2 linked regions of the Arabidopsis thaliana genome follow. The protein of the gene in region 2 interacts with the protein of the main gene of each other region in a pairwise test. Each region holds a gene or a part of one and is shown on either strand. Other genes may lie near its edges.

Region 1 (3,889 bases), on a different chromosome or scaffold from region 2:
TACATGATCATGAGTTCAAGGCCAAGGTCCTATCCCTTGATAATGGTGAGCAAAGAGACGTAGGGTTTTATGACATACATCATTGTATCTTCTGCGATGAGCAAACATCAGTCTACGCCAACGGATCCCTCTTTTGGTTGACATTAAAGAAGCTTAGTCAAACATCTTACCAGCTATTAGCTATCGATCTTCACACTGAAGAATTTCGATGGATATTATTACCAGAGTGTGACACCAAATATGCTACTAATATAGAAATGTGGAATCTGAATGAACGTTTGTGCCTATCGGATGTGCTAGAAAGTTCAAATTTGGTCGTTTGGAGTTTACACCAAGAATATCCTACCGAAAAATGGGAGAAAATATATTCTATTAAGATTGACGTTATAAGAACCAACCAATTACATGAAAAGTTTTGGATGCTTGGTCTAGCGGCTGCCTATTTTTCAAATATCAGAAATCGTCAAGATCAAGTTTCTTTTTTTAGACAAAGAACGATTTCGTATTTGCCAACAATGATTTCTCCTTCAAATTTGATGCTTTGATGTTGTTAATTATACTTTCAATTTTTAACAATATTATATGTAAGTTAAAAAGAATATTTTTAAAAAAAAGATGTTTAGATATTTATTTATTTTAAGTATATTGTAATTTCTTTATTTGACATTATGGATTATTTTTATGTTTTATTTTCTCTTGTTTTCTTTCTTTCTGTCAATATAATACATATTTGGATATAGTTATGATGAATATATACAAGTTTTTGAACAAGTTTTTGCAATTTTAAAAGACATTGGAGAACGGAAAATGCAGTGATGCATTTTATGAAACAGTTCAGTAGCAGTCTTGTAACCAGCCGTGACAAGAAGCGTGGCTCTAACAAGAATGCAGAGGGAACTTCCAAATGCCAAAGCAACATACACAACCATTAACGTAGAAAGTTTCACAGGAGCTTGCACATCCTCAGAAATAGGAGTAGCCCAAGCCATCCAGTAGTTACTTCCAATCTGTAGAAGCTGAAAGAGAATTTGCCCCAACAATATGAAAGGCACAAGAGCTCCTCCGTATGCCAGTGTGATATATTTCCAGTATACATCCAAAGCGACGCTACCTTTCGCCCTCTCTTCCTCTTGAACAAATTGTCTTTGGGGCTCCCCAGAATCTAATTTATCGTTCTTCAGATCTTGACTTTCTTGTTTCCCGTCGAAACCAATATCATCTCTCACAACACCATTTTCTTCGTCTAAAGCTGAGTTTTCAGAAACAGAACTGGCATCAGCCGACCCAACTACTGCCAGAGACTCTTGATGCGCACCTATAAGCTCCCTGAAATCTGTTCCAGAGATGAGGATATCATTATATTTTCCAGCTTGGCTGATTCTCCCATCTTTCATGACCTGAGGCATAAGAAAATCGGTTATGGATGATTTCATATTCTCAGTGCTGTAGAAAATGATAAAAGACAGTGAACTATTCACATACCAGTGTAAGATCAGCAGAAGGTAAGAACTCAACTTGATGGGTTACATATATAACCGATTTAGAACATAAAAGCCCTCGTAGAGCTTCCTGAAAAAAGTATGAGAATGAAAATAAATTTGATACATGATTGTTTACGGAAGGAGAAATCACAATCACACTAATGGCTAAGTAAGAAGATTGTACCTTAAAGAGATGTGACCCTGTGTGTGCATCGACAGCACTAAAAGGATCATCAAACAGATAGATGTCCGCATCTTGGTAGAGAGCGCGTGCAATATGTATTCTTTGCTTTTGTCCACCACTCAAATTGATGCCGCGTTCTCCAATGACGGTCTGATCACCGAATGAAAGTATCTCCAGATCTTTACTCAAAGAACATGCTTCAATCACCTTATCATATCGTTCTCTATCCATATTATATAAACAGACTTAATATCAGTCATCTGATTATTTAAACTTAAATACAAGTGTATTAGACCTTGTTCTAGGAGCAGGCTCATATCGTTATGTATAAAAGAAGATATCTGTGTGAGATTGTTTTCACTGTGCAGTCCGAAAAGTGTTGCCTCAGAGTCTCCTGGATCAGATTATCAGTAGCTGTATCGATAGAAGCAATGGCTTCATCAAGAACCGGCCATACTTTGCTTTTCTTGAGAAAGACTCGTCTTACTGTGTATCAAGGCGTCGTAGTGTGTAGTTGTCAAAAACTTGTGGATCAGCAAAACAACATAAAGAAAGATCTTTGCCAAAAACTTCTGAGTTGGTATTACAGTCATTAAGAATGCTCGAAAAAGAAATTCTCACGTCCGTATTGAAAAACCTTCTTCAAGACACTCAGTTCTAAGATCTTCCATGAGACCCTGAAACATAGATGGATCGCTCGTCACAACAGCATCCACACCTAAGTGAAGCATCCTTTTCATGGGATCAGCATCATCCACAGTCCATGCATACACCTCTTTGTTTCTCCTGTTGATCAGATCGAGCAAGGTTGTAAACACATGAGCAGGTGTGTTTTTATTTGAAAACATTGAAATCGATTGCTTACCGACGGACAACTCTAACTAATTCTTCATCGATCAAGGGATGATAAACTCCCACAACCCTAGCTCCCTTCATTCTCAGCAGGCTGTTTCTCGCCCCAGTCAAAGGATCTACCATCACAATGTATCCCACCTGCCAAAATCACTAGGAAATGAGCAAGAAACTTCTCTATCTGATCCTCACAAGACAATCCATTTCTGTTTACCATAGTATCTGGTGCTCGTCTAATTATGTCCCTAGCCAAAGTGTCGCTTTTGGCCCATACGATGCAATTATTGCACTGCGCTCTCTCAATCTAACAACAGAGGATTGGCGATTCATGTGAGCAAAGCCAGAAATACCACCATTGAAACATCAACAATTTATCCATACTCTTGTTTTTTCAAGTATCTATAGTAAGCTGTTCTAGCTTTGTGTACAAAGATACCAGGAAATAAATGATTAAGCAACGCTATTAAGGAATCAAAACATGTTTATAAATCTCGAGCACATTGTACTAAAGCTTTACAAGTACAAGAGCTAACAAAAACATAGTACTTACAATAGAAAGGATGTCTTGTGCTAACCCCTTTTCATACATTGGCGGTCCAACTTTGGCATCAAGGATCACTTTCCGGACTGAATTCGATATCAACTAGATGATTCAAGATCAAAACTAGCTTCAGCCACTTGTTACTAAGCAGAAATTACAAAGCAAAGCAATGACAAGATAGTAATTAAAAAAACAGGCATTACCGCTAAAGCCTCTTCAAGAGTAGGAATCCTACTACTTCCCAAGGTTCCTTTAACAATCTCCGAGACATCGAGTTCCTTGATCTGCAAAAAGATCATCAAAAGGTTTATGAAAAATGGATGCAAAAAAGCATATCCCAAAAGCTGGTAAAGAGAGAGAGGGAGAGATGAGACCTGTTTCATACTCAGATCTCCAACTTGAACAGAAGAGTTACGAGCAATACGCTGCAGATCCCTGACTGTGCGTGTGATCAGAAGATGAATAAGAAGAACACCGATGAGAATCCAAACACAGAAACATTAGAAGAAGATGATACAACAAGGATCAGAGTCTGTAACCTGTTGTGAAGAGCGAATAAAACACCATCGGAGGAACGAGAAACATCGACTTCAATGCAATCAACTCGAGAACGTATAGCGAAACTGTAAGCGTCCATCTACGATTGAGAAGAGTCCAAGAGATTAAGGTTTAAAAAGGTTAGTAGCAAGAGTGTGAAGAAGAAGAGATCGAGAGTGTACGTACAGTGTTTGGGAAAGCGAGGGTGGAATCGCCGCCGTGAGCACAGACAAGTGGAGGATGGTGAAGCCAATCGCACTTTTGCGCGACAATCTGACGAATTCGTCGGAGCTT
Region 2 (4,099 bases):
TTTTGGGGAACGGCTTTAGACGTAGAAGCCAACACACTATGGATATGTTAAGTGGACTTGCTTAGATGCCAATAGACATTATGATCCATGATTTCCTTGAAGAGGTAGTGTAAAATCAGTGTACATGAAGGAATGTATTTGTTGGGGTTTGATGTGTATGTGTATCTCTTTTGACACTTATTGCTCACATGCTATTGATGATTGATCAACTTGAGTTTTAACTATTGTTTCACTGAATTCATAATATATATTACATCTACTTGTGTTTAGATTGTGAGGTTAAATTTATATATATTCACAATGTTAGATGCAATCTCGAGTTGTAGTCTTTTTTTTTTTTTTTTTTTGTCAAAAGTGTGTTTTATTTAGTATAGAAAGCCAAAGTAACATGCCAATATTTTACAAACACTAAACCAAGGAAGCCAAACAAAAGAAAACAAAGTCCAATAAGAAAGCTGAAGGAAAAGCTTAAATGCATTATATTAGACATGTGGCAAGCAGGAAGCAGGTTAGAAGACACATGCAAAGTTGAAGATGTGAGAGTCTCCGTTGATCAGAAAGCTTCAATTCCGGCCAAGATCGCCGGAAAATTATTCAATCGACTTATCCTAATCTTCCCTCAAGAAACAAAGCGAATTCCATTTTAGCAACAAATACCCGAAATATGAGCCGAATCACACCGAAAACAGAGCCAGACCACACCGGAAACAAAGTCTTCTCATCCGGACAACGAAAGCCGGTAAGCATACCGAACGGTGGAACAAGGATTGAGTTTTCTCTCCGAAGAATCATAGAGAGACCTCATCCTTGTTAAAATTTTTGTTTTCGAGTTAGATAGATCATGCATTTGTTGTCGCATAAGAAATCTCAGTTTTTTGCAATATCATAGACCAGAGGCTTTAAAACAATACTGATCGAACAAAAACTTTTGAATGTTACAACTTTTAACTAGAACATGTTATGGTTTCAATCCCAAAAGCTCTCCAAACTCAAAGGTTTGGGATAATACAAAAGTTACATAGACATGGACATAATCTGTTGAGCAATGCCCGGTTCTTGCTGCAACAGCTCCCTCAAGTTGTTCTCAACCTCTGCTACCTGCTTCTCCAAGTATTCCTTGGATGTCTAAAAATCATCCCGAAAACAAAACATGTTTGATAACCAGCATCTCAATGATCTCCTAATAACCCAATAAGATGTTGAAAGAGGGAATGATTGTTACCTGTAGAGAAGCAACGGCAGCTTCACTGTCCTTGAGTTTTTGCTCTTGTTCACCCTCCAGCACTGTCTTGGGCTCTAGAACAAACCTGTTCACCATACAAACTATAATCAGCCTTCAAAATTCTCTAAAGGCCTCTAGTTGGACTGACTAATAACCACCACTCACGTTCTTCCTGAAAACAAGAATAAAACACAAATTAGACCAAAACTTTACTAGTCCTTGTCTCAAAACCAGAGAATTGAATCACTTGCCTATTGACTTGTAGGTGTTTGTCTCTTCAGGCAATGGCCTCAGCTCCTCCAAGGTTAAGAAAGCTCGCTTTCTATCTCCCTCTTTGTTGCGCATCTGATTCTGCACCTATATATAAAACCCATCCACATTCACATTTCAGTTTTTCAGCACCACATGACAATAACCTAGGAAAGCCAATTTTGTCATTACACAACATGAAAGAAGGGATTATAAAACCAAACACAGTTCAAGAACTAACAAATTACAAGTAAACCCTTATACAATGTGTCACGTTTGATTCTAAAACTTGATAAATACAAAGAAAGTGAGGATTCACCTGTTTGAGCTTCCCAGTGAGTTCAATCATGCTAGCTTGAATCTCCATAAAAGCCTGTTGTAACTATACACATTACAATTCCATTTTCTGCAACATCTTACTGGGGAAAGAAGAATATTCCACTAGAAAATTGAGCTGATTTAAGAGAGAGAGAGGTACTCACAGCTCTGGTTGCTTCGTCCGCCATGTCTGCAGATCTTGATCTTTGAACGAACCCCGACGTGCTAGAGAAGGGTCTTTCGTTTTAGGGTCAAAAAGTTAGAACTACCCGGGTCGGGTTTCAGACGGCTTAGCCCGGTTTATCAAGGCTTTATTGGGTCAAATCGGCCCATTTATAATTAACGATGATTTTATACTTTTAAAAAAATATGTGTTTGCATTGGAACAAACAATTCTACCCAATAACACAATTTAATTTACCCATTTGGTTTTAGATTGTACCATGATTTTGTAAATCAAAGACTCAAAGTCATTGTCTTTTTTTTCTTGTATAATCAACCACCCAAACCATTGTTTGTATCGTAACCAATTCAGCTAACACCACCAAATTATTTTACCATATTATATTTTAAGGGTGATTTGCATTATCATACACTTTCGAAAACATGTTGAGCAAAAGTTTTGCCGACAGGCACACTTCTGATCAATTATAAGGGTGATCAATTATAAGGGGGAAAAAGACTTAATTGACCCTATTAATTAAATCAAGTAAAATCGGTTATTTAGGGTAAGAGTTTGGGGAAACCGGTTTATTTTGTTTTTGCAAACCGGAGAAAGCATGGAACGAATAACTATGTCATCGAAGTTTGAATGACGATGAACAAAAGAAAGAGAAGCTCTGAAGTTTGAAGCAACTAACAAAGATATCATAACGATGGTAAGAAAAAATGGATTGGTAACAATAGTAGAAAATATTCGCTGATATATTATTGACTGTCTAAGATAAAAAATTTATATATTGCAGGGAACTGAGGATGGCTTCTGTTATGTAATATGCGGGGATTGGAATTGCGAGGAGGATGAGAAGTGGTATGTTGAGGTTAATAAGGTAATGAAATCTCGAATTGTGCCTGTATATAAAGGTATTAAGCTATCAGAATTCGTGGAAGCCATTAGAGTAGAATTTGGAATTTCAACGAGTACGAAGGTTGATTTAAGCTTCTGTACCCCAAATATAAGAGATTTTACCACCGGAGATAAAACACCACCGGTCGTCGTGACGACTGATGTGGGGCTAAGTTATTTTATGAAGATATTGGAAGCAAATGTTGGAACCAACATGTTTGTAAAGTTTGGAACATCTTGTAAAAGAGTTTTAAACAATTCTGAGGTTGACGGTGGGCTAGTGAAGACCAGTTCAGTTAAGGAAGATGACGGAAGAGGGAATAAGTCGAAACGTTTATGTGGATCAGAAGATAGTATATCGAAGGTCGGGTTGAAAGAATTTTTGCTGTCCTCCGAAGATGAAGAATTTGTTGCAGAACTTGAAACTATAGAAAGAGTTATAGGTTGTGAACGAGGTCCTCTTGTTAGTGAAATTTTATCTGAAGATCTTGATGATGAAGATCTAGTGGATGAAGGAAGCGAAGATCTTACTTGGGATGAGATTATAGAAGTAAAACCCCAATCTTATGATGTGGAGTTTTGGAGCCCATTCTTGGATGAGGACATGGGTGGCTCAAATGCATTGGATATAATATGTGTCGGGGAAGAAGATGCTGATGTTAGAATGGGATTTGCGTCACCAACAGTAGACACAGAATTGGTGGCCAGTGTGGAAGGTGCAGGTTCGAACATGGAAATTGATGATTTGATAACGTCTTCGATTAAGCATCCAACTGATTTACTTGCAAACAGCAGTGGAACGGGAAAAGTTGTTAACAATAGAACAGGTGATTGTAATACAAATGAAACTGCAAGAGAAAATAGGAAGCTGTCGGATGTGGACGATGAAGAGTTTGATATTCCTCCTCTGTTTGATGACACGGAGTATGAAGCTGCCATAATGCCGGATATAGATAGGGCTGACGGTGAAGATGTATATAAAGGAAAAGTTTATGCTAGCAAGTCGGATTGCCAAATTGGATTAGCTATATATGCTATTAGGCATATGTTTCACTTCAAACAAACACGCACAAAACTTGATTCATTTGTTTTAAACTGTGCCGATGAGAAATGTGATTGGCGGGTAACAGCTCATGAAATGCCTGAGAGTGGATATTATGAGATACGCAAAGCTAAACTAGACCATACTTGTTCTGTGGAAACTCGGAAAATGTACAAGAAGAAGGCAACTTCAAGGGTGATAG

Evidence for each region.
Region 1: the proteins of PFD1 (region 2) and NAP5 interact in a protein complementation assay, tested with the Arabidopsis thaliana proteins (one large-scale study listed by BioGRID).

What each region holds. Positions count from the first base shown.
Region 1 is NC_003070.9:26,883,274-26,887,162, forward strand, and holds NAP5 (non-intrinsic ABC protein 5), read right to left. Parts: upstream 1,897-3,889; coding exon 1,666-1,896; intron 1,570-1,665; coding exon 1,483-1,569; intron 1,398-1,482; coding exon 741-1,397; downstream 1-740. Other genes in the region: AT1G71320 (F-box family protein), read left to right, coding at 1-545; GDPD4 (PLC-like phosphodiesterases superfamily protein), read right to left, coding at 2,283-2,451, 2,531-2,658, 2,732-2,821, 3,068-3,160, 3,262-3,342, 3,433-3,493, 3,598-3,695, 3,782-3,889.
Region 2 is NC_003071.7:3,043,522-3,047,620, reverse strand, and holds PFD1 (PREFOLDIN 1), read right to left. Parts: upstream 2,099-4,099; 5' UTR 1,978-2,098; coding exon 1,954-1,977; intron 1,845-1,953; coding exon 1,791-1,844; intron 1,580-1,790; coding exon 1,474-1,579; coding exon of another isoform or gene 1,470-1,473; intron 1,395-1,469; coding exon 1,388-1,394; intron 1,308-1,387; coding exon 1,223-1,307; intron 1,126-1,222; coding exon 1,015-1,125; 3' UTR 717-1,014; downstream 1-716. UniProt on the Arabidopsis thaliana protein: Binds specifically to cytosolic chaperonin (c-CPN) and transfers target proteins to it. Binds to nascent polypeptide chain and promotes folding in an environment in which there are many competing pathways for nonnative proteins.